4 linked regions of the Anolis sagrei genome follow. The protein of the gene in region 4 purifies or fractionates together with the protein of the main gene of each other region. This does not show direct contact. Links are inferred from orthologs where the notes say so. Each region holds a gene or a part of one and is shown on either strand. Other genes may lie near its edges.

What was found.
Region 1: the proteins of MAP3K14 (region 4) and CAD purify together in Homo sapiens (affinity purification with mass spectrometry; 3 studies listed by BioGRID and IntAct, with this or other methods). This does not show direct contact. The link is inferred for Anolis sagrei from reciprocal best matches to the Homo sapiens genes MAP3K14 and CAD.
Region 2: the proteins of MAP3K14 (region 4) and NFKB2 purify together in Homo sapiens (affinity purification with mass spectrometry; 6 studies listed by BioGRID and IntAct, with this or other methods). This does not show direct contact. The link is inferred for Anolis sagrei from reciprocal best matches to the Homo sapiens genes MAP3K14 and NFKB2.
Region 3: the proteins of MAP3K14 (region 4) and TIMM13 purify together in Homo sapiens (affinity purification with mass spectrometry; 3 studies listed by BioGRID and IntAct, with this or other methods). This does not show direct contact. The link is inferred for Anolis sagrei from reciprocal best matches to the Homo sapiens genes MAP3K14 and TIMM13.

The regions. Positions count from the first base shown.
Region 1 is NC_090021.1:519,533-527,200, forward strand, and holds the start of CAD (multifunctional protein CAD), read right to left. Parts: upstream 3,009-7,668; 5' UTR 2,895-3,008; coding exon 2,780-2,894; intron 1-2,779. Other genes in the region: ATRAID (all-trans retinoic acid-induced differentiation factor), read right to left, coding at 6,358-6,462. UniProt on the Homo sapiens protein: Multifunctional protein that encodes the first 3 enzymatic activities of the de novo pyrimidine pathway: carbamoylphosphate synthetase (CPSase; EC 6.3.5.5), aspartate transcarbamylase (ATCase; EC 2.1.3.2) and dihydroorotase (DHOase; EC 3.5.2.3).
Region 2 is NC_090023.1:147,141,009-147,148,526, forward strand, and holds the start of NFKB2 (nuclear factor NF-kappa-B p100 subunit), read right to left. Parts: upstream 3,012-7,518; 5' UTR 2,688-3,011; coding exon 2,664-2,687; intron 1-2,663. UniProt on the Homo sapiens protein: NF-kappa-B is a pleiotropic transcription factor present in almost all cell types and is the endpoint of a series of signal transduction events that are initiated by a vast array of stimuli related to many biological processes such as inflammation, immunity, differentiation, cell growth, tumorigenesis and apoptosis.
Region 3 is NC_090034.1:62,746,095-62,753,621, forward strand, and holds the start of TIMM13 (mitochondrial import inner membrane translocase subunit Tim13), read right to left. Parts: upstream 3,029-7,527; 5' UTR 2,985-3,028; coding exon 2,889-2,984; intron 14-2,888; coding exon 1-13. UniProt on the Homo sapiens protein: Mitochondrial intermembrane chaperone that participates in the import and insertion of some multi-pass transmembrane proteins into the mitochondrial inner membrane.
Region 4 is NC_090026.1:46,369,315-46,376,150, forward strand, and holds the start of MAP3K14 (mitogen-activated protein kinase kinase kinase 14), read right to left. Parts: upstream 3,027-6,836; 5' UTR 2,938-3,026; intron 1-2,937.

The sequences.
Region 1 (7,668 bases), on a different chromosome or scaffold from region 4:
GCTCCACACCCTCCAAGGCTTTTGAAGGGTCCATCAAACAGAAATAATAATAATAATAATAATCTTTATTTATACCCCGCCACCCTCTCCCCAAAGGGGACTCGGGGCGGAAAAAGTGTATTTGAGAGGAAGCCAAAAGAGATGGTTTTTTTCTGAAAATAAAGAAAGGATGGATGGATGGATGGATGGAAGGAAGGAAAGAAAGAAAGAAAGAAAGAAAGAAAGAAGGAACCCTAACCCGAATGCATACATCCCACCCAGAAGTTGGCACCATTTATGATGACCCAAGGCTTTAGAAGAGTCAATAAACTAAGGAAAGGATGGATGGAAGGAAAGAGGGTTGGACGAAGAATGGAAGGAAGGAAGGAAGGAAAGAAAGAAAGAAGTCAAGGAGGACTGATGGCAGGAGGGGAGGAAGGATGGAGGGAACGATGGGTGGAAGGAAGGAAAGGTGTAAGCATAGAGTCTTCAAACTTTTTAATCAGAGGGCCAGGTCACAGCCTCTCAAACTGTTGGAGGGCCGGATTATAATTGGAAACAAACATGCATGAATTCCTGTGCACATTACACATCTCTTATTTGTGGTGCAAAAAACACTTTGAAACAATACAATAATTAAAATAAGGAACAGTTTTAATATATATAAACTTATTAGTATCTCAATGGGAAGTGTGGGCCTGCTTTTGGCTGATGAGATGGGACTGTTGTTGTTGCTGTTGTTGTTGTTGTTGTGAGCTTTCAAGTCATTTCAGACTGAGGTTGACCCTGAGCGAGGGCTGCGTAAATGACCTTGGAAGGCCGTATCTGTCCCCCGGGCCGTAGTTTGGGGACCCCTGGCATAGAGGGATGGAAGGAGGAAGGAAGGAAAGGATAGATGGAAGGATTTCAAGAAGGGAAAATGGATGGAAGGAAGGAAAGAATGAAGAAAGGAGGAAGGAAGGAAGAAAAGGGTGGATGGAAGGAAATATGGGTGGATGGAAGAAATATGGAAGGAAGGAAGGAGGAAGAAAGGAAGGAAGTCAAGGAGGATGATGGATGGATGGAAGGAAGGAAGGAAATGCATGGAAGGATGGCAAGAAGGGAAAATGGATGGAAGGAAGGAAGGAAAGAATGAAGAAAGGGGGAAGGAAACGATGGATGGAGGGAAAGATGGATGAAAGAAGAATGGAAGGAAAGAGAGAAGGAGGGAAGTCAAGGAGGACTGATGGAAGGAAAGAAGGAAAGAGGGAAAGAGGGAAGGAAGGAAGAAAAAGATAGGTGGAAGGATGGATGGCAAGAAGGGAAAATGGATGGAAGGAAGGAGGAAGTACAGATGGATGGATGGAAGAAGAGTGGAAAGAAGGAAGGAGGAAGGAATGAATGAAGAAAGGAAGGAAGGAAGGAAGGAAGAAAAGGATGGATGGATGGAAGAAGAATGAAAGGAAGGAAAGAATGAAGAAAGGAAGTAGAGGAGGACTGAAGGAAGGGAGGGAGGGAAATCCAGGGGAGAAAGGAAGGAAAAGATAGGTGGAAGGATGGATGACAAGAAGGGAAAATGGAAGGAAGGAAGAAAGGAAAGAATGAATGAAGAAAGGAAGGAAGGAAGAAAAGGATGGATGGATGGAAGAAGAATGGAAGGAAGGAATGAAGAAAGGAAGTCGAGGAGGACTGATGGAAGGAAGGAAGGAAGGAAGGAAGGAAGGAAGGAAAGGAGGGAGGGAAATCCAGGGAAGAAAGGATGAAAAAGTTAAGTGGAAGGATGGATGGCAAGAAGGGAAAATGGAAGGAAGGAGGAAGTATAGATGGATGGAAGAAGAGTTGAAAGAAGGAAGGAAGGAAGGAAGGAAAGAATGAATGAAGAAAGGAGGAAGGAAGGAAGGAAGAAAAGGATGGATGGAAGAAGAATGGAGAGAAGGAAAGAATGAAGAAAGGAAGTAGAGGAGGACTGAAGGAAGGGAGGGAGGGAAATCTAGGGGAGAAAGGAAGGAAAAGACAGGTGGAAGGATGGATGACAAGAAGGGAAAATGGAAGGAAGGAAGGAAGGAAAGAGGAAGTATAGTGGAAAGAAGGAAGGAGAAAGGAAGGAAGGAAAGAATGAATGAAGAAAGAAAGAAAAGGATGGATGGAAGAAGAATGGAAAGAAGGAAGGAAGGAAGGAAGGAAAGAAGGGAGGGAGGGAAATCCGGGGAGGGGAGGAGGGGGCGGGAAAGAAGGAAGGAGAAAGGAAAGAAAGAATGAATGAAGAAAGGAGGAGGGAAGAAAAGGAGGGATGGATGGATGGAAGAAGAATGGAAAGAAGGAAGGAAGGGAGGGAAATCCAGGGGAGAAAGGAAGAAAAAGATAGGTGGAAGGATGGATGGCAAGAAGGGAAAATGGATGGAAGAAGAGGAGAAAGGAAGGAAAGAATGAATGAAGAAAAGAAAGAAAAGGATGAATAGAAGAAGAATGGAAAGAAGGAAGGAAGGGAGGGAGGGAGGGAAATCCGAAGGGGGGGGGTGCAGGGGGCGGGTCCTCCCCCCGGCTTCTCCCCCTCCTCCCCTCCCCCCCCAGGGGAGCACATGGCGGGCGCGTGCCCTCCTCCCCCCACCCCACCCCACCCCCAAAGGTCGGTGGGGGCGGGGCCCGAGGGACACGTGTCCTGGAAGGGGGGGAGGGCCCCTCAAGGGCACCCAGGCGCTCCCCTCTTTTCCTCTTCCCCTCCCTCCCCCCCTCTCTCTCTCCCTCTCTGTGCATGCTCAGAGGCACTCTCTACCGCGGGGGGGGGGGGGAGAGAGGGGGGTGTCTCTGCCTCAAGACTCACCGACTTCCCCGGCGGCGTGGCTGCGCGTGTCCCCGAAGGGCCTCCCTCGCAGGACGGTCCCATCTTCCAGGACCAAGCTCAGGCCTCCCCGGAGGAAGAGGGGGGTGGTCTCCATGCCTCAAGGAGAGAGAGAGAGAGAGAGAGAGAGAGCAGGGGGAAGGAGGGGGCGGGGCCAAGGCTGCTGCTGCTGCTGCGGATGCGAAGGAGCTGGGAAAGGGGGCGGGGCCCCAGCAGGAGGAAATGACTCACCCAGACTGGGCGGAGACTACCCGGTGGGGACACGCCCCCCAAGGAGGCGGGGCCAAGGGGAGTGTAGCCACGCCCCCTACTGACAGGGTTCTTCCCAAACAGCCCACCTTTGCAACCTTCCCCTTGATCATTCTTATGGTGTTGAACAGACTGCATTCACACCTGGAATCCCAATCTGGGCTCCACAACTGAAGGAAGGGGTGGGCTCTCAGCTGGAATACTGTCTCAAAGGATACAGGGTATGGAGGACAAGCCCTATGAGGAGCGGCTCAAAGACCTGCTGGGCATGTGTTAGCCAAGACAAGGCAGAGGAGAGACACAAAGGATCCAGGGTCTGGGGAACAAGCCCTATGAGGAGCGGCTCAAAGAGCAGCTGGGCATGAGGAGAGACACAAAGGATCCAGGGTCTGGGGAACAAGCCCTATGAGGAGCGGCTCAAAGAGTGGCTGGGCATGAGGAGAGACACAAAGGATCCAGGGTCTGGGGAACAAGCCCTATGAGGAGCGGCTCAAACACCTGCTGGGCATGTTTAGCCAAGAGAAGGCTGAGGAGAGGCACAAAGGATCCAGGGCCTGGGGAACAAGCCCGATGAGGAGCGGCTCAAACACCTGCTGGGCATGTTTAGCCAAGAGAAGGCTGACAAGACACACAAAGGATCCAGGGTATGGAGGACAAACCCTATGAGGAGCGGCTCAAAGAGATGCCAGGCATTTTTAACCAAGAGAAGGCTGACGAGACACACAAAGGATCCAGGGTATGGAAGACAAACCCTATGAGGAGCAGCTCAAAGAGCTGCCGGGCATGTTCAGCCAAGACAAGGCAGAGGAGAGACACAAAGGATCCAGGGTCTGGGGAACAAGCCCTATGAGGAGCAGCTCAAAGAGCTGCTGGGCATGTGTTAGCCAAGAGAAGGTAGAGGAGAGACACAAAGGATCCAGGGTATGGAGGACAAGCCCTATGAGGAGCGGCTTAAGGAGCTGAGCATGTTGAGACTGAAGAAGAGAAGGCTGAGAGGAGATATGATGAGGGCCATGTATAAATATGTGAGAGGAAGCCACAGGGAGAGGAGGGAGCAAGCTTCCTTTCTGCTTCCTTGGAGACTAGGACGCAAGGGAACAATGGCTTCAAACTACAAGAGAGGAGATTCCATCTGAACACGAGGAAGAAGTTCCTGACTGTGAGAGCCGTTCAGCAGTGGAACTCTCTGCCCCGGAGTGTGGTGGAGGCTCCTTCTTTGGAAGCTTTTAAACAGAGGCTGGATAGCCATCTGTCGGGGGTGCTTTGAATGCAATATTCCTGCTTCTTGGCAGAATGGGGTTGGACTGGATGAGGGCCCACGATCATAGAATCCTAGAATCCTAGAGTTGGAAGAGACCTCCTGGGCCATCATCCAGTCCAACCCCATTCTGCCAAGAAGCAGGAATGTTGCATTCAAAGCACCCCTGACAGATGGCCATCCAGCCCCTGTTTAAAAGCTTTCAAAGAAGGAGTCTCCACCACACTCCCTACGGGACAGAGAGTTCCACTGCTGAACGGCCCTCACAGTCAGGAAGTTCTTCCTCGTGTTCTCCCACTGTTTCGCGTTTTTTTTTTTTTTTTTAAATGAATTTATGGGGGCTGAGTTTGGGAAAGAGGAGGATTGAATCATAGGGTCATAGAATCCAAGAGTTGGAAGAGTTGTTCAGGTGGAAACTCCTCTCTTGTAGTTTGAAGCCATGGCTCCATTGTGTCCTAGTCTTCAAGGAAACAATAAACAAGCTTGCTCCCTCCTCCTCCTCCCTGTGGCTTCCTCTCACATATGGCCCTCATCATATCTCCTCTCAGCCTTCTCTTCTTCAGGCTAAGCATGCCCAGCTCCTTAAGCCGCTCCTCATAGGGCTTGTTCCCCAGACCCTTGATCATTTGAGTCGCCCTCTTTCTCTGGACACAGTATTCCAGCTTAGGGTCAATATCTCTCTTGAATTGTGCTTCTCTGGAGACTAGGACACAATAGAGCCATGGCTTCAAATGACAGGAGGGGAAGATTTCCCCTGAACATCAGGAAGAACTTCCTGTGAGAGCCGTTCAGCCATGGAACCCTCTGACACAGAATATATTTTTGTGTGTTTTCATAGTTCTTTTGGCATTTGACAGTGAATTCCACTGAAGCAGAGGTGTCATTGGGCTAAGATGACCAAACAAGTGAATTTCACATAATAATCACATAATCTGTGAAAACAGAACCAACCAAAGAAATAATGGTGAATGGTAAAAAGCCTATGGAGGCTTTGAAACAGAGGCTGGGTGGCCATCTAAAAACCTGGCTCTTCCGCTGCACCTTTTTGTTTATTGTAATGCTATTTCGTTACTGAATTATTTTAAATGTAATCCTGATGATGTTGCTTGTTGCTTATGTTTTGGTTTTATCTTGATATAATATGTTGTTCAGGCTTGGCCCCATGTAAGCCGCTCCGAGTCCCCATTGGGGAGATGGTATAAATAATAATAATAATAATAATAATAATTATTATTATTATTATGGAGTCCCCAGTGATGTAATGGGTTAAACCCTTGTGCCAGCAGGACTGCTGACCAATAAGCTGGCAGTTTGAACCTGGGGAGAGCACGGATGAGCTCCCGTCTGTCAGCTCCAGCTACCCAGGCAGGGATATGAGAGAAGCCTCCCACAGGATGGTAAAACATCAAAACATCCGGGCAACATCCTTGCAGACAGCCAATTCTCTCACACCAGAAGCAACTTGCAGTTTCTGAAGTCACTTCCGATACAGAAAAAAAAATTATTATTCTTATTATTCTTATTATTATTTTATTGTTATTATTATCAATTGCGTAATTCCTTCTCATTTCTTGTAAACAAATGCCTTGCCCTTCATTTCCTTTTACATTATTGCAAGCTATTTGGGTCTCGCTCCATAAATTCAAATAGATAGAAGAAATCCTGCAGCAGGAAGTCCCTCCGGTTCTGGAAGTTGCTGGATCAGGTCCAAACAGGGAACATCCCAATTTGCACCCCAATAGCACCAGTTCGTTACGAGCCCCTTTATTATTAGTCAAAGCCAAGAGGCAGACCTCACCCACTTGGGGTAGGAATCAAGTCCAGCCCCATAAGCTTGGATCCTGGTTGTTGTTGTTGTGGTTGTTGTTGTGGTTGTTGTTGCAAAGTCCCCTGCTTGGCTGTCCCAGTCCAGGTCCAAGGAATCCTCCCCAAATTGCCTGGGGAGACTTAAGGCAAGGGCTACGTAACAAAGCCTCCTCTCCTTTGCTGCTTCCTCATCATCATCCTCATCATCATCCTCATCTGCTTGGAGTTGGCTGAGGGTCATTCCGGCCTAGGAGGTCTTGGCCTTGCGCCGCTGAGTGGTCCAGAGCAGGACGGAGAGGGCGGTCGTCACGGCCCCCAAAGAGCCAAAGAAGAGCAGGTACGGGAAGGAGCCCTGGAAGCGAAAAAGCCGTGGCGGGGGGGGGGGGGGTGTCAGTCAATAGCAGTGCCGTCTCTAGGTGGGGGTGTCACAAAAATATCATAAATAAATATGGATTTAATATAATGTGTATGAGAATGAATGGAAGGATGTATGGAGGTCATAATTTTGCAAACACCAGTAAAAGACCCAGACCTGCAATGACAAACTACCCACTTACTGGACTATAATTAAAAGTTGCTAATGAGAAATGAAAAGTAAACTCTGATAAATGGATGGATGTATGGAGGTCATAATTTGGGAAACACCCGTCAAAGACCCAGGCCTGCAATGGCTAACTATCTGCTTACTGGACTATAATTAAAAGTTCCTAATGAGAAATGAAAAGTAAATTCTGATAAATGAATGGAAAAATGGATGGATGTATGGAGCTCATAATTTGGGAAACACCAGTAAAAGACCCGGGCCTGCAATGGCTAACTAGCTGCTTGCTGACAATAATTAAAAATTGCTAATGAGAAATGAAAAGTAAACTCTGATAAATGAATGGAAGAATGGATGGATGTATGGAGCTCATAATTTTGGAAACACACCAGTCAAAGACCCAGGCCTGCAATGGCTAACTACCCGCTTACTGGACTATAATTAAAAGTTGCTAATGAGAAATGAAAAGTAAACTCTGATAAATGAATGGAAAAATGGATGGATGTATGGAGGTCATAATTTTGGGAACACCAGTCAAAGATCCAGGCCTGCAATGACTAACTACCCGCTTGCTGGACTATAATTAAAAGTTGCTAATGAGAAATGAAAAGTAAATTCTGATAAATGAATGGAAAAATGGATGGATGTATGGAGCTCATAATTTGGGAAACACCAGTCAAAGACCCAGGCCTTCAATACTAACTATCTGCTTGCTGAACTATAATTAAAAATTGCTAAAGGGGAATGAAAAGTAAACTCTGATAAATGAATGGAAGAATGGATGGATGTATGGAGCTCATAATTTTGGAAACACCAGCCAAAGACCCAGGCCTGCAATGGCTAACTACCTGCTTGCTGGACTATAATTAAAAGTTGCTAATGAGAAATGAAAAGTAAACTCTGATAAATGAATGGAAGAATGGATGGATGTATGGAGCTCATAATTTTGGAAACACCAGCCAAAGACCCAGGCCTGCAATGGCTAACTACCTGCTTGCTGGACTATAATTAAAGGTT
Region 2 (7,518 bases), on a different chromosome or scaffold from region 4:
GTCCAATTCTGGGCAGTGGTGCTAATCTCCATTTCTAAGCCAAGGAGCTGGCATTGTTCATAGACACCTCTAAGGTCATGTGGGGTTGGAGTGCCATTACCTTCCCGTAGAAGTGGTACCTACTGATCTACTCACATTTGCACTTTTTCAAACTGCTAGGTTGACAGAAGCTGGGGCTAACAGGAGGCCTCGCCCCAATGCCCTGATTCAAACCACTGATCTTTCAGTCAGCAAGTTCAGAAGCCCAAGGGTTAACCCACTACACCACCGGGGGTTTACACATATAAAACATCACATATCAAATCAGCCACATATAGAAATAGATTGAAACCATTAAAACTACAAAATTATAACAATCACAACATACCATAAAACATTAGGTCTTACATCGATCCCAAGATTATCTTTAACTACTTCATATTTCCATACTCCTGTCATATTGTGGGTTATATGGCTGTGTGGAAGGGGCCTGAACCCACACTGCCATATAACCAAATTCAAAGCAGATGTGGGATTTTATACAGCTATGTGGAAGGGGCTTATGGAGCACCCACCACTATGTAGATCAGGGGTCCTCAAACTAAGGCCCAGGGGCCGGATACGGCTCTCCAAGGTCATTTACCCAGCCCTCACTCAGGGTCAACCTAAGTCTGAAACCACTTGAATGCACACAACAACAACAACAACAGCCCTAACAACAACAACAACAACAACCCTATCTCACCAGCCAAAAGTAGGTCCACACTTCCCATTGAAATACTAATATGTTTATATTTGTTTAAATTGTTCTTCATTTTAATTATTGTATTTTAAGTGTTTTTTGCACAACAAATCAAATATCTGCAGTGTGCATAGGAATTCATTCATGTTTTTTTCCAAATTATAATCTGGCCCTCCAACAGCTTGAGGGACTCTAACCTGGCCCTCTGTTTAAAAAATTCAAGGACCCCTGATGTAGAGCATAGTGGTGGACTTAAACTCCCACAATTCCCAACAGCTTGGAAACTGTGGGAGTTGAAGTCCAAAAACACCTAGAGGGAGGGCCAAAGTTGGCCCGTGCCTGATGTAGAACTATTATACCCGGACCCCTGTATCCACAGATTTTCCATCTATGGAAGTGACAACGAAGGCGATCGTAAGGCTGATGGGGCCCTACATGGGCAGGACACCCCTGGCCATGCCCGTTGCCAGGATTTTGATTTGGGGGGGTGAGTTTCATTCAAAGGAGGGACTGAGGATCTACCATAGCAAACCTTTTGTATCATTATCCCAATAGCCCCATGCATATGGGATATATTGAGCATGGTGATCAGTTCATGATATGAATAAATATAACAGTTGAAATAATTTAAGCCCCATGCATATGGGATATATTGAGCATGGTGATCAGTTCATGATATGAATAAACATAACAGTTGAAATAATGTATCAGTAAGGCCTTCTCGCGGACCACCCAGCTGCGCCTGTATCTTGGGAAGTCTGACTTGGCCACGGTAGTCCACGCTCTGGTTACATCCTGCATAGACTACTGCAACGCTCTCTATGTGGGGTTGCCTTTGAAGACTGCTCGGAAGCTTCAAATGGTCCAGTGCTCGGCAGCCAGGTTGCTAACAGGAGCGGCACCAAGGAGCACACAACTCCTCTGTTGCACCAGCTCCACTGGCTGCCAGTTTGCTACCGGGCACAATTCAAAGTGCTGGCTGTAGCCTATAAAGTCCTAAATGGCTCTGGCCCTACTTACCTCTCCGCACGCATCTCCTCCTATGAACCGACTAGGACACTAAGATCATCTGGGAGGCCCTGCTGTCGGTCCCGCCTGCATCACAGGCGCGCTTGGCAGGGACGAGAGACAGGGCCTTCTCAGTGGTGGCCCCTCGGCTGTGGAACGCCCTGCCTGCAGATATCAGATTGGTCCCCTCCCTGCTGGCGTTTCGGAGGAAAGTGAAGACCTGGCTGTTCGAACAAGCATTTGATTAAACAGTGTAATTGAATATAGGAATACGGAATAATGAATGACGAGACTGGATTCTGATTTTACTGTTGAGGTGCTAATGATTGTTATACTGATGTTAATGTTTTATGTGATAATTGTTTTTAATTGCCCTATATTTGTTTTATGATATTTTGTACTGATGTTGTTCACCGCTTTGAGTCGCCTGAGGGCTGAGAAAAGCGGTATAGAAATAAAGTAAATAAATAATTTCGGGGGGGGGGGGGCTGAAGCCCCTCAAGCACCCCCCCCCCCCCCGCTACATGCCTGCCCCTGGCTTTCCGTGGCTCCTTCACCTTGGTCAGTTAGGCACCGTGTGTAAGCAAGTTTGGACTGCTTTGGAATTAAGTTTATTTCTCCTGAAGCAGGTTCCTACCCCATGTTTTGCAAGTTAATGTGAGTAGAGTTTGGGGGTTGCTTACAAAATTTTGTAAAAGGCAGATACTTCTTTCAAACTTTGGAAGGATTTTGCCCAGCATGGGAGGAGGAGGCGGGGAGGGGCTCCCCCACGTTCACAGCAGGAAAGGGCAATGGGAGGGGGGGTGGCGGGGAGGCCCCCACCGGGGGACACGCGGGAGCAGCGCGAGCCAAGGGCACATCCGGGCCTCCCAAGCACTTTGTTTGCCCCCCGATCCCCGCAAAGCCCTGCCCCCCGCAGGCCCCTCAGACTCACCGAGCGGTACCCCTCGCAGTCCATGGCGCGGAAGGATAGGAGGAAGAGTGCCCGCCCGCCACCTTGCCTTGCCTTGCCCTGCCCTGGCTTCGGAAGGAGCCGCGGGCGGAAACGGGGCGGGCCAGGAAGCGCCTCTGGAAAGTCCCTAGAAACCCAGCGGAGACGGAGAGGGAGGGGAGGGAAGGCAGGAAGGGCACGCCTCTCTTCCCTCACAACTCTTTCAGGCGGCAGGGAGGGAGGGAGGGCGACAAGGCCCCCAGCCACACCACCTTGAGGGGAGCTCCCAGCGTGGCCCCCTCGCGACCGACACTGCGCCACGCCCCTTCCCCTCCCTCGCGCAGGGCTTCCTCGCAATCAGCTGACTGCCCGGATGAAGGAAGCGGGGCCTCCTCCCTGACAGCAGAGAGGGGGCGGGCGCAGGTTTCCCAGGCAACGGAAGGCGCGCGCCCTCCTCTCCCCCCTCCCTCCTTCCTCTCGCCCCTCCCTCCTCCTCCTCAGCCTGAAAAGCAGGGAAGTCAATCTAGGGGCCCTTCCACACAGGCCTATATCCCAGAATATCAAGGCAGGAAATCCCACAATATCCGCTTTGAACTGGGTTATCTGAGTCCACACAGAGATAATATGGGATTTCCTGCCTTGATATTCTGGGATATAGGCTGTGTGGAAGGGCCCTGAGTCCGCACTGAGACAATATAGGATTTCCTGCCTTGATATTCTGGCATATAGGCCTGTGTAGAAGCAGAGGCAGCCCTAGGTAATTTTCAATGGTAAGCAAACAGTATTTTGGCGTCCCCCCCTCCAACCAATCACTGATATATATTTTGTGTTCGCCATGGGAGTTCTGTGTGCCATATTTGGTTCAATTCCATCATTGATGGAGTTCAGAATGCCCTTTGATTGTAGGTGAACTATACATCCCAGTAACTACAACTCGCATAAGTCAAGGTCTATTTTCCCCCAAGAGCGCCTCAAGAGCGCCCCTGGGCAAAATCAACTATACTGCAAATGCTTACTTTGCGTAATGGGTTGAGCCGCCCCTGTGTAGAAGGGTCCTGAGTCCACACACAGATAATACGGAATTTCCTTCCTTGATATTCTGGGATATAGGCCTGTTTGGAAGGGCCCTGAGTCCGCACTCTGATAAATATGGGATTTCCTGCCTTGATATTCTGGGATATAGGCCTGTGTGGAAGGGCCCTGAGGTAGGAGGTCACTGGGCAAGAAGAAAGGAACACATGCACCCATTCATGTAAGCATGTTTATATATTATGAGGGGTATTTTTTAAGTAAGGTCCATTTGAACATAAGTACACAACGAAAGTTTATTTCAAAAAAGTAAATTTGTTTTCAGAAAGTACATACTTCACTCTATTTTTCAACATAGTTGCCAAGTTTGTTCAAACACTTATACCTCCCAAGCACCAATTTTAACATACCCTCTTCATAAAAACTTGCCGCCTGCTCCGATAACCAAGAGTTCACTGTAATCAAAGAAGGGCGACCAGAGCGGTCCTCATCATGGACATTGTCACGGCCATCTTTGAATTGTCGTACCCACTTACGCACTTTGCTTTCACTCATAACAGTATCACCGTACACTTCACAAATCTGTCGATGAATTTCTGCAGCAGGCAGGTTCCTTGCTGACAAAAACCGTATCACTGAGCGAACCTCACATGCGGAGGGTGAGTTGATAGTCTTAAACATTTTTAAAGCACAGAACAGAACCGTACAGGTTAGCTGTTGTTGTTGTTGTTCATTCATTCAGTCGTCTCCGACTCTTCGTGACCTCATGGACCAGCCCACGCCAGAGCTCCCTGTCGGCCGTTACCACCCCCAGCTCCTTCAAGGTCAGTCCAGTCACTTCAAGGATGCCATCCATCCATCTTACCCTTGGTCGGCCCCTCTTCCTTTTGCCTTCCACTTTCCCCAGCATAATTGTCTTCTCTAGGCTTTGCTGTCTCCTCATGATGTGGCCAAAGTACTTCAACTTTGTCTCTAGTATCTTTCCCTCCAGTGAGCAGTCGGGCTTTATTTCCTGGAGGATGGACTGGTTGGATCTTCTCGCAGTCCAAGGCACTCTCAGCACTTTCCTCCAACACCACAGCTCAAAAGCATCGATCTTCCTTCGCTCAGCCTTCCCTAAGGTCCAGCTCTCACATCCATAGGTGACTACAGGGAATATCATGGCTTTGACTAGGCAGATCTTTGTTGCCAGTCTGATGTCTCTACTCTTCACTATTTTATCGAGACTGGACAGGTTAGCTACAGAGTAGAAACTGAGCTCAGTTGTTCCCGAGGCATGCCGGTACACGATGCACGCGCTCGTTGCACTATGCGCATGGACTACTAGTGTCTACAACAAAACGGACCTTACTATTCAGAACAGTCTTCTCTAAAGCATGTACAGGCAGTTACAGACATGCAATGGCTCCTAGTTAAGAATGGGGATGAGTGTTAGGGATTCCTCATCTTCAGAAGGAGAAGGAGAGAAGGGAAGTGCTCAGGAATTGGAGGGAGAAGAAGAATCAGACAATGAGATTTTGAAAGTGTCCACATTTCTAGAGAGATGAAAAGAGACAGAGCACAGCTAGAATAGCTGCTAAAAATGCTGAGCTAATTGGGAGATGCCCTAGCACCTCCTGCATGGGCTATAAATCAGAAGCAGGAGCAGTCAGCTTTTGCTAGTAACAATGATCCTGATACTGATGTTTTCACTCCAATGGAACCTGCTTTGTGTCTGCTGCTAAGGACTTCGTGATCATTGCCCGTTGTCTGAAGGAAGACTGCTGTTTCTTTTGGGACTTTGTAAGAGACTTTAATTTGTGTCTTGGATTAAGACGTGCTTTCTTTTGCACTATTCAATTTTCCTATCCTTTGTGTCTGCTGAAGTAAAGCATTTTTCTTTTACTTTCAATATTGTATAAAGCCTGTTTTTGAAGGACAACTCAGGTCAGATTGTTACCAGCCCTAATTTTTTACAGCCTTAACTTTTCAGCCAGCCATAAATCTGTCTGGCCATGGAGGAGGTCAAAGATTTAAAACAACAAGTGGCTGCTTTAAAGTTAACTGTGGAGGAGTTGCAGGAGGTGCTAGGGCATCTCCCAATTAGCTCAGCGTTTTTAGCAGCTATTCTAGCTGAACACCGTCTGTACTCTGTCTCTTTTCGTCTTTCTAGAAATGTGGGCACTTTCAAAACCTCATCGTCCGATTCGTCTTCTCCCTCCAATTCCTGAGCACTTCCCTGCTCCCCTTCCTCTTCCAAAGATGAGGAATCCCTAACAATGAGACAACAAGGAAGTGAGAGGAAATCTACCTCTAGAAAGGAAAAATTAATTTCTCGAAAAGGTGTCTCCACTGAAGCCTTCTTGCCAATCTTTATTTCCACACAAGCCAATTTTTTTTAAAAAAATCAAATTATCACAGGTGTTTGTTTTTCTATCTGTGTCCCTGTTCAGGGGAAATCTGAACAGGGACACAGACAGAAAAGCAAACACAAGAGTGTTAACCCTTCCCTATACTATCCAAAGCTTGTATACACACACACAGTTGTGTAACTGTGTGTGAGTGGGTGGGTGTATAGCTGGTGTTACACTTAAAAATGGAACTTGGGGACTGCCTGTATATGCCAGTTTAATTCAAAGCAAGGTCAAACATGGAATGACATCCCAGAGCAAGCCTGTGAGCACTCCATCATCACACCAAGTCCCCCCTCCTTTTGTACCTCTTTATGTTGGAAATGACAACCTTCTTCAAGCCTTCTCTAGTAATGTTTATCTATGACCCTGTTGCTGTTTCCTGCATGTTCTGGTATGCAGCTTCCATCATGGTTCCTGAGAAGTTACAAAAGGAGCTGACAGAACACATACATTTTCTTCTCTCTCCTTTTGATTATGTTGATAGCAGTTTTGTTGTAAGAGATGTTGTGGATGGCACAGAGAATTGTCTCAAACACACCTGAAACTGGACTGATAAGTTTTGTACCTGTGTATGCTGGACACATGAAGGCTGTGAGTAAACCAAATATGTTATTTTTTTTATCAAAGTCTACTTTGTTTTTGTCTCTTGAGTGCATGGTAGAAAACAAGTTGTTTTATGGGAGTCTATATATTTTTGGGCAACCGAAAAACACTTCTAAAGCTCTGCTGTTTTTATGCACTGGCAAATCTGTTTTCCTAACAGATCAGAGACAGCATGTTATTCAGTCTTAACAACTGAAACTATTTCCTTGCATAATTATATCTTCCATGGGATAGTAAAACATCTGGGCATCCCCTGGGCAAAGTCCTTGCAAACGGTCAATCTCTCACACCGAAAGCGACTTGCAGTTTCTCAAGTCACTCCTGGCACAAAAAACTTACATAGTGGTGAGAGGTTGCGTGCCGCTCTATATTGTGAATCGTATTCTAAAGTGTAGTCTGAGTTCCTATCTGTATACAAGAATGTAGAATTCATTTTTTAATTTACACACATGCTTACCTATTTCCTTTCTTAAAGATAATTTCTGCCTCTGCTATTTCTCATCCTAAGTGCCTAAACAATCCTAATTCAGTTTATCAGTAGCTGTTATACTATTCTCAGTCAAAAGACAAACATTGGCGCATTTGTCTGGCAACCCTATTTTGCATATTTTAAAGTAAAGCTTGGCAATCAAGATAAGTCTTGGGCCACTCACGAGGTGTGCAAGCAGCGTGTCAAGTGTTGACAGATGTAGATGAAAGAACACGTCATAAATTGCTATTTGGTATACCTATGGTTTGATGGCAACCCAGAGATCAGTCAAGTGATTGTTAGTTTTGTAAAGTGAAAAGTCAGGATATATTGGCATTTGATCAGCATAAGTTGAATAATTTGG
Region 3 (7,527 bases), on a different chromosome or scaffold from region 4:
TGTCCGTCATTCTCTGCAAGGGGAAGGCAGGGGAGGCGTGAATAATAGTAACCATAATATATTTTATTTTTAACCTCTCCCCCCGAAGGAACTCAGGGCGGTTCCCAAAGGCAAAAAATGGAAAACATTCAAGGCCATGTGCAATAACAAAAACAAACATTAAAACAAATTCAACACCTTGGCTGAAACGAATCAATCAGGCATCATAAATAACACAATAGACCAGGGGGCCACAAACCTTTAAAACAGAGGGCCAGGTAACAGTCCCTCAAACTGTTGGAGGGCCGGATTATAATTTGAAAAAAAAAATGAAAGAATTCCTATGCACACTGCACATATCTTATTTGTAGTGCAAAAACACTTAAAAACAATACAATAATGGAAATGAAGAACAATTTCAACAAATATAAAATTATTAGTATTTCAATGGGGAAGTGTGGGCCTGCTTTTGGCTGATGAGATAGGATTGTTGTTGTTGTTATGTGCTTTCAAGTAATTTCAGACTTAGGTTAACCCTGAGCGAGGGCCGGGTAAATGACCTTGGAGGGCCGCATCCGGCCCCCGGGCCTTAGTTTGAGGACCCCTGTTCTAATCTGTCAAGATCGTTTTGAATTCTGCTCCTGTCCTCTGGAGTATTGGCTATCCCTCCCCATTTTGTGTCGTCTGCAAACTTGATGATCATGCCTTCTAGCCCTTCATCTAAGTCAGGGGTCCACAAACTTTTAAAACAGAGGGCCAGGTAACAGTCCCTCAAACTGTTGGAGGGCCGGATTATAATTTGAAAAAAAATGAAAGAATTCCTATGCACACTGCACATATCTTATTTGTAGTGCAAAAACACTTAAAAACAATACAATAATGGAAATGAAGAACAATTTCAACAAATATAAAATTATTAGTATTTCAATGGGGAAGTGTGGGCCTACTTTTGGCTGATGAGATAGGATTGTTGTTATTCTTGTGTGCTTTCAAGTTGTTTCAGACTTAGGATGACCCTGAGCAAGGGCCGGGTAAATGACCTTGGAGGGCCGCATCTGGCCCCCGGGCTTTAATTTGAGGACCCCTGATCTAAGTCATTAATAAAGATGTTGAACAGGACCGGGCCCAGGACGGAACCCTGCGGCACTCTGCTCGTCACTTCTTTCCAGGATGAAGAGGAAGCATTGGTGAGCACCCTGTTTCACCATCTGTTTCCAAAAAGGAAGAAAAGGACAGGCAGAACTCTCTGCCAAAGGGGTTCCCAAGACCACCAGAAATAAGTGTTTTCTGATGGTCTTTGGCGACCCCTCTGAAACCCCCTCCCCCTGGGGTCTCTAACCCCAGGTTGCGAAATGCTGCTTTAGGGCTTTATTTGTTGTTGTTCATTCGTTCAGTCGTCTCCGACTCTTCGTGACCTCATGGACCAGCCCACGCCAGAGCTCCCTGTTGGCTGTCACCACCCCCATAGAATCATAGAATTGAAGAGTTTGAAGAGACCTCATGGGCCATCCAGTCCAACCCCATTCTGCCAAGAAGCAGGAATATTGCATTCAAATCACCCCTGACAGATGGCCATCCAGCCTCTGTTTAAAAGCTTCCAAAGAAGGAGCCTTACAGGGAGAAAATTAACTTCATGGTCAATCTTATGGTTTGCTTGTAAAATCTGTCCAACATCTCCAGCTTGTTGTTGTTCATTCGTTCAGTCGTCTCCGACTCTTCGTGACCTCATGGACCAGCCCACGCCAGAGCTCCCTGTCGGCTGTCACCACCCCCAGCTCCTTCAAGGTCAGTCCAGTCACTTCAAGGATGCCATCCATCCATCTTGCCCTTGGTCGGCCCCTCTTCCTTTTGCCTTCCACTTTCCCCAGCATCATTGTCTTCTCTAGGCTTTGCTGTCTCCTCATGATGTGGCCAAAGTACTTCAACTTTGTCTCTAGTATCCTTCCCTCCAATGAGCAGTCGGGCTTTATTTCCTGGAGGATGGACTGGTTGGATCTTCTCGCAGTCCAAGGCACTCTCAGCACTTTCCTCCAACACCACAGCTCAAAAGCATCGATCTTCCTTCGCTCAGCCTTCCCTAAGGTCCAGCTCTCACATCCGTAGGTTACTACAGGGAATACCATGGCTTTGACTAGGCGGATCTTTGTTGCCAGTCTGATGTCTCTACTCTTTACTATTTTATCGAGATTGGACATTGCTCTCCTCCCAAGAAGGAAGCGTCTTCTGATTTCCTGGCCACAGTCTGCATCTGCAGTAATCTTTGCGCCTAGAAATACAAAGTCTGTCACGGCCTCCACGATTTCTCCCTCTATTTCCCAGTTGTCAATCATTCTTGTTGCCATAATCTTGGTTTTTTTTATGTTTAGCTGCAAGCCGGCTTTTGCGCTTTCTTCTTTCACCTTGATTAGAAGGGATTAGGGCTTTATAGGTAAAGGTAAAGGTAGTCCCCTGACATTAAGTCCAGTCATGTCTGACTCTGGGGTGTGGTGCTCATCTCCACTTCTAAGCCGAAGAGCCAGCGTTGTCCGTAGACACATCCAAGGTCATGTGGCCGGCATGACTGCATGGAGCGCCGTTACCTTCCCGCCGGAGCGGTACCTATTGATCTACTCACATTTGCATTTTTCGAACTGCTAGGTTGGCAGAAGCTAGGGCTGACAGGGGAAACTCACGCCGCTCCCCGGAATCGAACCTGCGACCTTTCGATCAACAAGCTCAGCAGCTCAGTGCTTTAACCCACTGCGCCACCGGGGGGGGGGGTACCCCCATAAACCACAGGCAAAAGATTCGAGCAGGAACCCTCCAGCAAAATACTGAAAATCCACTGAACCCTGAAGGAGAAGCGAGGAGGGAAAGGGGCCCGGAAATCCCTCACCACCACCACCACCACCTTCCCTTGCGGCCCCGACCTGCAGTAACTCCTGTGCGTTGGCCACCGCGATCTGAACCTTGACCTGCTCCATCAGCGCCCCCGCGTCCATCGCGCCACCACCCGCCGCCGCCATCTTTGCAGCGCATGGACCCTGGAAACACTTCCTCTTCCGGCCCCGCCCACTTTCCCACACCATAGAGGCACGGGTACGAAGACGCTTTTATACACTTCCGGTGCTTTTCGACATTTACCCTCCCTCCTCGCCCCGCAAAGGACTGCCAAAAAAAAGGGCAGCCAGAGAAGTCAGCCATAGCAGACCACCTGATGAACCAACCTGGGAACAGAGTATTATTAATGTATCGTCGAAGGCTTTCATGGCTGGAATCACTAGGTTCTTGTGGGTTTTTTCGGGCTATATGGCCATGTTCTAGAGGCATTTTTCTCCTGACGTTTCGCCTGCATCTATGGCAAGCATCCTCAGAGGTAGTGAGGTCTGTTGGAATTAGGACAATGGGTTTATATATCTGTGGAATGGCTGGGGTGGGGCAAAGATCTCTTCCCTGCTGGAGCTAGGTGTGAATGTTTCAACTGACCACCTTCATTAGCATTTGAAGGCCTGTCTGAGCCTGGGGGAATCTTTTGTTGAGAGGTGTTAAGATGTGCCTGATTGTTTCCTCTCTGCTGTTTTGCTGTTATAATTTTAGAGTTTTTTTAATACTGGTAGCCAGATTTTGTTCATTTTCATGGTCTCTTCCTTTCTGTTGAAATTGTCCACAGAAAAGTGTTCCTGCCATACATCAAGGGAACCGCTGACAGCTGATAAGGAAACACAACATACAAACAATCTATTTATTTATTATTTATTTAAAAGTTTTGTATACCGGCCTTCTCACCTCTCTTGAGGGACTCAGACCGGTTTCCAACCATAATATCACATACAATCAAAAAAACATCATAATACATATTACAGTAAAACATTAAAACAGCAATTACAATCAATAACTACAATGGTCAGTCGTCACACTAAAATCGTTGCTCATCATCCTCCATCCATATCTCAGGGTGTTGGCTCACTCTTCGAATGCTTGTCTCCATAACCAAGTCTTCACCTGTTTCCTAAATGTCAGGATAGACGGGGCGGTTCTGATCTCCAGTGGCTGAGAGTTCCAGAGTCGAGGGGCCACCACCGAGAAGGCCCTGTCCCTCGCCCCCACCAGACACGCTTGTGAGGCCGGTGGGACCGAGAGCAGGGCCTCTCCAGACGATCTTAATAATCTTGATGGTTCATAGGGGAGAATACGTTCGGAGAGGTAAACAGGGCCGGAGTCGTTTAGGGCTTTATAGGTTAACACCAGCACTTTGAATCTACAGACACAAGAAAATCCAACAAATGCTCCGTTCAGCAAAGGACAAGAGGGATCCTCTCACCTCTGCAGGAGTCTACCGTGTACCATGCAGCTGTGGACAAGTCTACATAGGGACCACCAAATGCAGCAGCGCCCAAACACGAATCAAGGAACATGAAAGGCACTGCAGACTACTTCAACCAGAGAAGTCAGCCATAGCAGAGCACCTGATGAACCAGCCTGGACACAGCATATTATTTGAGAACACAGAAATGCTGGACCACACCAACAACCACCATGTCAGACTACACAGAGAAGCCATTGAAATCCACAAGCATGTGGACAATTTCAGCAGAAAGGAGGAGACCATGAAAATGGACAAAATCTGGCTACCAGTATTTAAAAAAACTCTAAAATTACAACAGCAAAACAGCAGAGAGGAAACAACCAGGCACATCTTAACACTTCTCAACAAAAGATTCCCCCAGGCTCAGCCAGGCCTTCAAATGCTAATGAAGGTGGCCAGTTGAAACATACACACCTAGCTCCAGCATAGAAGAGCTCTTTGCCCCACCCCAGTCATTCCACAGATATATAACCCCATTTTCCTATTTCCAACAGACCTCACTACCTCTGAGGATGCTTGCCATAGATGCAGGCGAAACGTCAGGAGAAATGCCTCTAGAACATGGCCATATAGCCCAAAAAAACCTACAAGAACCGAGTGATTCCAGCCATGAAAGCCTTCGACAATACAGAGTATTATTATTTGAGAACACAGAAATGCTGGTCCATTCTCACAACCACCAAGTCAGACGACGCAGAGAAGCCATTGAAATCCACAAGAAGCATGTGGACAATTTCAGTAGAAAGGCGGAAACCATGAAAATGACTACACCTGGCTTCAGATATTAAAAAACTCCAAAATCAGGATAGAAAATAAGGAGCAACACTCAAAAAACAGGGGAATTCCAGACGGGAATCAATCAGGGCCAGCTCATACCTCCCAACAAAAGATTCCCCAGGCAAGAAGCAGCCAGGCTTTGAAGGTGCAAGGCCATTCAGTGCTAATCAAACAGACAAGAGTTTGTAATCCCACCCTGGACATAATTTCACAGCAGGCATGTAGCCTGGGGGGGGGGGGGGGGGGGGGGGGGCGCTTGGCGGGCTTCAGCCCCCCCCCCCCAAATTCTCATGATGGTCCGCGAAAAGGCCTTACTGGTACATTATTTAAACTGTTATGTTTATTCATATCATGATCTGATCACCATACTCAATATATCCCATATGCATGGGGGTATTGGGGTAACGATACAAAAAGTTTGCTAGGGTAGACCCTCTTTCACTCAGACTCAGCCCCCTCTCGAAACAAACTCAGCCCCCCCCCCCCCCCCGAATCGAAATCCTGACTATGGGCCTGTTCCACAGGAATATAAACTCCACTTACTGTGTTTCCAATAGACCACACAATCTTTAAGGATGCCTGCTAGAGATGTGAGCAAAATGTCAGGAGAGAATGCTTCTGGAACATGGCCAGGCATCCCAAAAAACCCACAGCAACCCAACAGAAGAATAAATAGAATAATAAAAATCTGGATCTATCTATATCTATATCTTCTATCTATATCTATATTCTATATCTATCTATATAATAATAATAATAATAATAATAATAATAATAATATAATATAATAATAATAATAATAATAATAATAATATATATAGTAATAGTTTTAAGCTGCTGGGCCAGGAAGACAATTAGCTGGGTTAAGACAAGCCGTTTTAAAGTGTTTTAAAGACTGGATTCCTGTAAGTGCTGACTCCATTCTGACTTCGGATTATTTTTGGATGGACATCTCATTTTGACTTAATCTTCTGCTTTTGGACGTGCTATGGGCTTGGGACAGTTTTTTGATAATATAATGTAATATAATGTAATATAATATAATATATATAGTTGTTGTTAGTTTTATCACACCAACAGTCAACAACAGAGGGAGAGGGAAGCTTCAGAAGGTCCCCCTGTCCCGTTTGGAGGTTTTTTCACGTATTGCGCAATCGTGTCCGCCATTAACGAATCGATTCGTATATTTATGAAATTTCATAAATATCGAAAATATGAAATCTGAAATTTCAGAAATCCTTTCAGATTAGAAATGTGGGCGCCCCCTAGATACGAAATGAGTTTAGAACCAATTTTTTTCTTGATCAAGCAAGCCTAATATCTATCTATCTATCTATCTATCTATCTATCTATCTATCTAGCTTGAGGACCCGGCACTGCCCGGATTATTTGAGATAGCCATTGTTTTTCTGTTCTGTAGTTTTAGTCTAGATCTAATGTCTGGTGGTTCAGTGGGTGCGGGTGAACTACAACTCTCATATGCAAGTCCCATCGTCCATAGTACATCCTGCTCCACACTGCACCAGGATGGTGGGTGGGTCATAGGGGCTTTGTGTGTCAAGTTTCTTCTTGATCGGTCATTGGTGTGGGTCGCAGTGGTCTCAGGAAGTGAATGAAGGTACTGCAAACCCCATCATCCATGGTGCATTGTCCCACAAACCACACAAGGATGTAGAGCGGGTCTCTTTATGCCAAGAATCTCTTTATGCCAAGTTCGATCTTGCTCAATCATTGGTGTAGATCGGAATGGTCTGAAGAAATGAGTGACGATACTGTAATTCCCATCATCCACGGTCTAAAGTGTTTCACACCACTCCAGGATTTAGAGTGGGTTATGGGGGCTCTGTGTGCCAAGTTCGATCTTGCTATGTCATTGGCGAGGGTCACAGTGCTCTCATGAAGTGTGTGAAGGTCCCATCATCCATGGTGAATCCTCCTTCAAACCACAACAGGATGTAGAGTGGATCATGGTGGCTCTGTGTGCCAAGCTTGGTCTAGATCAGTCATTGGTGAGGGTTGCAGTGGTCTCAGCAAGTGTGCTTAGGTACTGCAAGTTCCATCATCCGCAGTCCATCCCCCTCCAAACTGCACCAGGATGTAGAATGGGTAATGGGGGCTCAGTGTGCCACGTTTGGTCTTTATCGGTCTTTGTTGGGGGGCACAGAGGTGTATGAGGCCCAAAGGGCTTGTACTACAAATCCCATCATCCATTGCCCATCCTCCCCCAAACCTCACCAGTTTGTAAAGGGTTAATGGGGACTCTGTGCCAAGTTTGGTCTTGATCACTCATTGGATGAGGGTCTCAGCAGTCTTGGGAAGTGAGTGGAGGTACTTCAGTTCCCATCATCCGTGGCCCATCCTCCTCCAATCTGCAGTAGGATGTAGAGTGGGTTATAGGGGTTCTGTGTGCCAAGTTTGGTCTTTAT
Region 4 (6,836 bases):
CAACTTTCCCAATGTAATCCCATAAGCTTCATGGTTGAAAGGGGTTATGAAACCACTTTCTTTCATTCGAGTGGGCCTCTGTTTGTGTTCAGGCCCCTTGTCTCATTCTCAGAGTTGTACAGGGGGTCACAATGATGTCATCTTCCATTTATAATTGTCTCACCCTTGCTCCTTGCTTTATTTTCTTTCCACAAAAAGATCTGTTAAGGAGGAAGTGATGGAACAGCTGCAGCAGGCCTTTTGACTGATAGCCAGGAGCTGTCTGCCCAAAAGTGCTCCAACGCATTTGGCACTACTTTAGGGACAGCCGAAAATAATGTGCGTTTTTATAAAGCAGCTCAATTGCACTGGCTTGGCCTCTTGAGGCCAAGGATGCTTTTAGATTGGCACCTCCCCACAATATCAATCACAAAGTATTGTGTAGCAGGTTCATCTTTCCCACTTTAACCAAAAAAGGAAGGAAGGAAAACCAGGGCAGTTTACAAAAGAAATAAAATCACCTAGAACAGAGATGAGAAACACTCAATCAGAAAAGCAACAGACCTGAATTTACAAGGGCTGTTGATGACAGTGACTTGGAAGTTGGGTCTCCATAAACTGAAGATGACTTGGGTTGGATCTGTATTGTAGAGCTAACACACTTTGACACCACTTTAACTGCTATGGCTCAATACTATGGAATACGCAGTTTGGTGAGGCATCCACATCCTTTGGCCGAAAATAATAAAGGCTTTGTAAAACTACCTCTCCTATGATTAAATAGCATTAAACCATGTCAACCATTGAACCATATGAACCAAGTGGGATCAAACTGCATTAATTACAGGATATAGATCATGCATGATCAAACTTCAGCTCTCCGGGTGCTTTGGACTTCAACTCCAAAAAATTCTGTTAGGAATTGTGGGAGTTGAAGTCCAAAACACCTGGAGAGTCAAAGTTTGCCCATGATTGAATTAAAGATGTACCCATGAAAGTAGATATTAAAGAGACAAGAAAATGAGCAAAAACGAGTGAAAGGTTTAGTTGACAGTTCATGATCTCAATTGCTACCTTTGGAACTTTATAGAGTTTTTAACACATCACTCTCTTCTCTCCATCCACTAATCATCTCATGTTTTGGCTGGATCCCTTCCCATAATGGCCCATAAACCAGGCAGGTCGATTGTACACTGAAAGCCTCACTTGGGCTCGGACAGGATCTATATCCCAGGATCTGATCCCAGGTTTTCTGTTTATCCCAGTGCAAACTCATATAATCCAGTTTAATGTAGAAAACCTGAGATCAGATCCTAGGATATAGGGCCTGTCCAAAAGGGCCCTCAGGCCCCTGGCACAGAGTTGAATAAAATTCCACATTTTCTGCTTTGAACTGGAATATATGGTAGTGTGGACTCAGACAACACAGTTCAAAGCAGATACTGTGGGGTTTTTGACTTGATATTGTGGGTTATATGGCCGTGTGGTACTGCCCTCAGTTGAGTAACTCTGGGTACATCTACACCAGGCCCCTAGCCAGGATTTCAATTCGGGGGGGGGGGGGGCTGAGTCTGAGTGAAAGAGGGTCTACGCTAGCAAACCTTTTGTATCGTTACCCCAATACCCCCATGCATATGGGATATATTGAGCATGGTGATCAGAGCATGATATGAATAAACGTAACAGTTTAAATAATGCACCAGTAAGGCCTTTTCGCGGACAATCATGAGAATTTCGGGGGGGGGGGGGCAAGCAAACGCTAGCAAACCTTTTGTATCGTTACCCCAATACCCCCATGCATATGGGATATATTGAGCATGGTGATCAGAGCATGATATGAATAAACGTAACAGTTTAAATAATGCACCAGTAAGGCCTTTTCGCGGACAATCATGAGAATTTCGGGGGGGGGCAAGCCCCCCCCCCAGCTGCATGCCTGATCTACACTGAAGAAATAATGCAGTTTCACCCCACTTTAACTGCTCTGGTTCAGTGCTATGGAATCCTAGGAGTCGTAGTTCCTAGGAATTGTAGTTCCACAAGGTCTTTGGCCTTCTCCGACAGAGTAGAAGAAGGCCAAAGACCTTGTGGAACTACAACTCTCATAGCACTGAGTCATGGCAATTAAATTGGTGTCAAACTACATTCATTCTACAGTGTAGATCAGGGGTCCTCAAACTAAGGCCCAAGGTCATTTACCCAGCCCTCACTCAGGGTCAACACAACAAAACAACAACAACCCTACTTCATCAGCCAAAAGCAGATCCGTACTTTCCATTGAAATACTAATAAGTTTATATTTGTTAAAAATTGTCTTCACTTTAATCATTGTATTGTTTTACGTGTTTTTTGCACTACAAATAAGATATGTGCAGTGTGCATAGGAATTGATTCAATTTTTTTCCAAATTATAATCCAGCCCTCCAACAGTTTGAGGGACTGTGACCTGGCCCTCTGTTTAAAAACTTTGAGGACTCCTGGTGTAGATGCACCCTCAGAGGGAAACTTTTGGGAGTTCTTCTGGGGGTGGAAATGAATGGGAAAAGGCACCTGGAAGATGGGGAGATGATGCCACTTGGCTCCTCAGGGAACAAAAGTAACTATTTCTCGTAATGAGGACTAGAGACTGATGAGATGTGAACTAATACAGGATGCTGGGGGGACTTGAGCTAGCCCTCAAACTCTTTAATTCTGACTCCTTTCTCTTCTCCTCTCTGTGGGGACGCTGAAGAGACGGTTGCACACGCCAAAGCTCAGCCAAAAAGCCCTGGGAGTCTAACTGAACATAAAACCCGAAATTAAGTTTGAGGAAGTCGTTGAGAAAGAACCGAGATAGGGATAAAGGCCAACTTTAAGAGGTAGGAAGGGAGGGAGGGAAAAGGGCGGCCGCCCCCGCTCCGTTCAGACAAAGGCTCCCCACACGCACAAGGCCTCAACCAGCCAAGCGAAGAAACCCACCTGTCAAGGGGAAGAAAAGAGTCGCTGCTGCTGCTGCGGCCACTTCCGGCCTCCCTCACCGCTCGGCACAGACTGCCCCGAAAAACTTCGAGGAGGGGGCGCGAGGCCACTGGCCACGCCTTATTTGGGAGTGTCGACCAATCGGCGGCTGGCATTTCCGGGAAGCCACGCCTCCTCATGGCTGCTTTCCCCGTCTGGCCTCAGTCTAGGCGGGAGAACGTGGGAGATGAAAAGGCGGGGGAGCTGGAGGAGGAGGAGGCCACGCCCCTTTTCTCCAGAAAGCCTTACTGATGTACATTGTAGGCTAGGCAGACATCTATCTATCTATCTATCTATCTATCTATCTATCTATCTATCTATCTATCTATCTATCTATCTATCTATAAAAATGCTCTGTGCATAATGAGTACCTTAAAAACAAAAGAACCAATGAACGAAATCACACCAAATTTGGCAACAAAACGTCTCACAACACAAGGAGTGACCATCACTCAAAAATTATGATTTTGTCATTTGGGAGTTGTAGTTGCTGGGATTTATAGTTCACCGACAATCAAGAGCATTCTGAACTCAATCAACGATGGAATTGAACCAAACTTGGCACACAGAACTCCCATGGCCAACAGAAAATACTGGAAGGGTTTGGTGGGCATTGACCTTGAGTTTGGGAGTTGTAGCTCACCTACATCCAGAGAGCACTGTGGACTCAAACAAAGATGGATCTGGACCAAACTTGGCACGAATATTCCATATGCCCAAATATGAACACAGGTGGAGTTTAAGGGAAATAGACCTTGACATTTGGGAGTTGTAGTTGCTGGGATTTATAGTTCACCTACAATCAAAGAGCATTCTGAACTCCACCAATGATGGAATTCAACCAAACATGGCATACAGGACTTCCATGACCAACAGAACACACTGAAAGGGTTTGGTGGGCATTAACCTTGAGTTTGGGAGTTGTAGTTCACCTACATCCAGAGAGCACTGTGGACTCAAACAATGATGGATCTGGACCAAACTTGACACAAATATTTCATATGCCCAATATGAACACAGATGAAGTTTGGAGGAAATAGACCTTGACATTTGGGATTTGTAGTTCCTGGGATTTATAGTTCACTACAATTAAAGAGCATTCTGAAACTCACAAACAACAGAAATGGGGCAAACTTCCCACACAGAACTCCCATGACCGACAGAAAATACTTAAGACCATCCAGTCCAACTCCCTTCACCAGGGCAAGAAAATGTAATCAGAGCCCTCCTGACAAAGAGCCACCCAATCATAAATATAGATAAATAGATATGATTCTCTCTCTCTCACACACAGATATAGTATCATAGATTTGAAAGAGACCCTTAAAGAAGGACTATGATATGTTGCATATTCCAGGGTGGGCAAACCAGACAATCTCTACATCAACACTGACAAAGAAACAACAAGAAATACTGTTTACTCACAAGCATAAAGGAATTACATATATTAGAAACCAACACTTTCTCATTACTTTATTTTCCAGGTCACCAGACTGGGCCACAGCAACGTGTGGCAGGGGACGGCTAGTGATATATAAAAGTCAATAGATAGGCTTGATGAACCTAACCTGGCACACATAACCTTCAATATCCACATTAAAATACCCATGGGGTTTGAGATAACACGAATCTACTCGTTTTGAAAATAATTTGCCTGTATTCATCTGTGCTGAGAGGCTGAGAACTAAAACTTTTTTTTTTGTCGTGTCAGGAGCGACTTGAGAAACTGCAAGTAGCTTCTGGTGTGAGAGAATTGGCCAACGTCTGCAAGGACGTTGCCCAGGGGACGCCTGGATGATTTGATGTTTTCTATAATCCTTGTGGGAGGCTTCTCTTATGTACCCGCATGAGGAGCTGGAGCTGATAGAGGGAGCTCATCCGCCTCTCCCCGGATTTGAACCTGCAACCTGTCGGTCTTCAGTCCTGCCAGCACAGGGGTTTAACCCACTGTGCCACCTCAATTAAACTAAAACTTTAATTGAAGGGTACCATAGGTACCCAGCTTTCCCTGGATTTGCATCTTCTAATGGAAATATAAAATCGAAAAATTAACTATGATTATTGCATATATGTGTGTGTGTGGTACACATACATATACTAGCTCTTGAATATATTTAATTGGCTTTCAAGTGATTACCATAGCTTCTGTGATCTCTCAAAACATTTTGGACACTGTAAAACTACTATATACAACTGCGCATGCGCGGGCCTCTTCCCAGGCAAGAAGGTGACGTCATCCACGCACACCAAACTTTCCTCCGTGGGCCTCTTCCGCCCCCACATGACCTTCCGAAAAGCTTCTGCTTCTTGATTGGCTACTGGACCACCCGTGATTTCCTCTAAAGTCCTCTCCGCTCAGGAAGAGGCTCTAAATATTTGAAATAGTTTTGTCTGGTGTCTCTGAGTGTAACTATTTTTCCTTAAACTGCATGCACAAACCCACCTTATAAAACTCTGCACTATAGAATTAACGCAGTTTGATTCCACCTTGGCTGCAATAGCTCCGTGCTATGGGATCCTGGGAGTTGTACCTTGGTGAGGCTCCTTCTACACTGCCATATAATCCAGATTATCAAATCAGATAATCCAGATTTTCTACTTTGAACTGGATTATATGGGTCTACACTGCCATATAATCCAGTTCAAAGCAGGTAATCTGGATTTTATATGGCAGTGTAGATCTAGCCTCTGCCTCAGTTTAACCCCTAACTGGAAATTTTAAACAATAGCGGTCCCCTTCCACGCGTTGCTGTGGCCCAGTCTGGTGATCTGGAAAATAAAGTAATGAGAAAGTGTTGGTTTCTAATATACGTAATTCCTTTATGCTTGTGAGTAAACAGTATTTCTTGTTGTTTCTTTGTCAGTGTTGATGTGGAGAGTGTCTGGTTTGCCTACTCTGGAATATGCAACATATCATTGTCCTTTAAGGGTCTCTTTCAAATCTATGATACTATATCTGTGTGTGTGTGAATCATATCTATCTATCTATATCTATGACTGGATGGCTCTTTGTCAGGAGGGCTCTGATTACATTTTCTTGCCCTGATGAAGAGAGTTGGACTGGATGGCCTTAAGTATTTTCTGTTGGTCATGGGGGTTCTGTGTGGGAAGTTTGCCCCAATTCTGTCGTTCGTGGGTTTCAGAATGCTCTTTAATAGTAGTGAACTATAAATCCCAGTAACTACAAATCCCAATGTCAAGGTCTATTTCCTCCAAACTCCATCTGTGTTCATATTTGGGCATATGGAATATTCGTGCCAAGTTTGGTCCAGATCCATCATTGTTTGAGTCCACAGTGCTCTCTGGATGTGGGTGAACTATATTTCAAGGTCAATGTCCACCAAACCCTTCCAGTTTTTTTCTGTTGGTCATGGGAGCCCTGTGTGCTAAGTTTGGCCCAATTCCATCATTGGTGGAGTTCAGAATGCTCTTTGATTGTAGGTAAACTATAAATCCCAGCAACGACAATTCCCAAATGACAAAATCTATTTTTTTGAGTGGAGGACATACATTAGGTTGTTAGGTGTCTTGCAGGCCTGTAGCGAGGGGGTGGTTTTAGGGGTTCAACCCCCCCCCCCGAAATGTTTCAGATTTTTTTTAAAAACCTGGTTTACTCATGAATTTTAACTGGTTAACCATATCCCCGTGCTAAGTCTATGAGATGCAAAAAAATGAAGAGTCCCTCCAGAACTGTAAGCACTATCTCAAGCAAATATTGACAATTTATTCACACTGTCATTACTTGCAGCAATAGCCGATGTAGTGAAGCAACCAAGTTGAGTGTGTGTGTGTTGAATGCTCTCATTAAGGAGGCCAGACTTGGTGGAGGTGGTTGACAGAAGTGGAGCTGCAGGCTATTG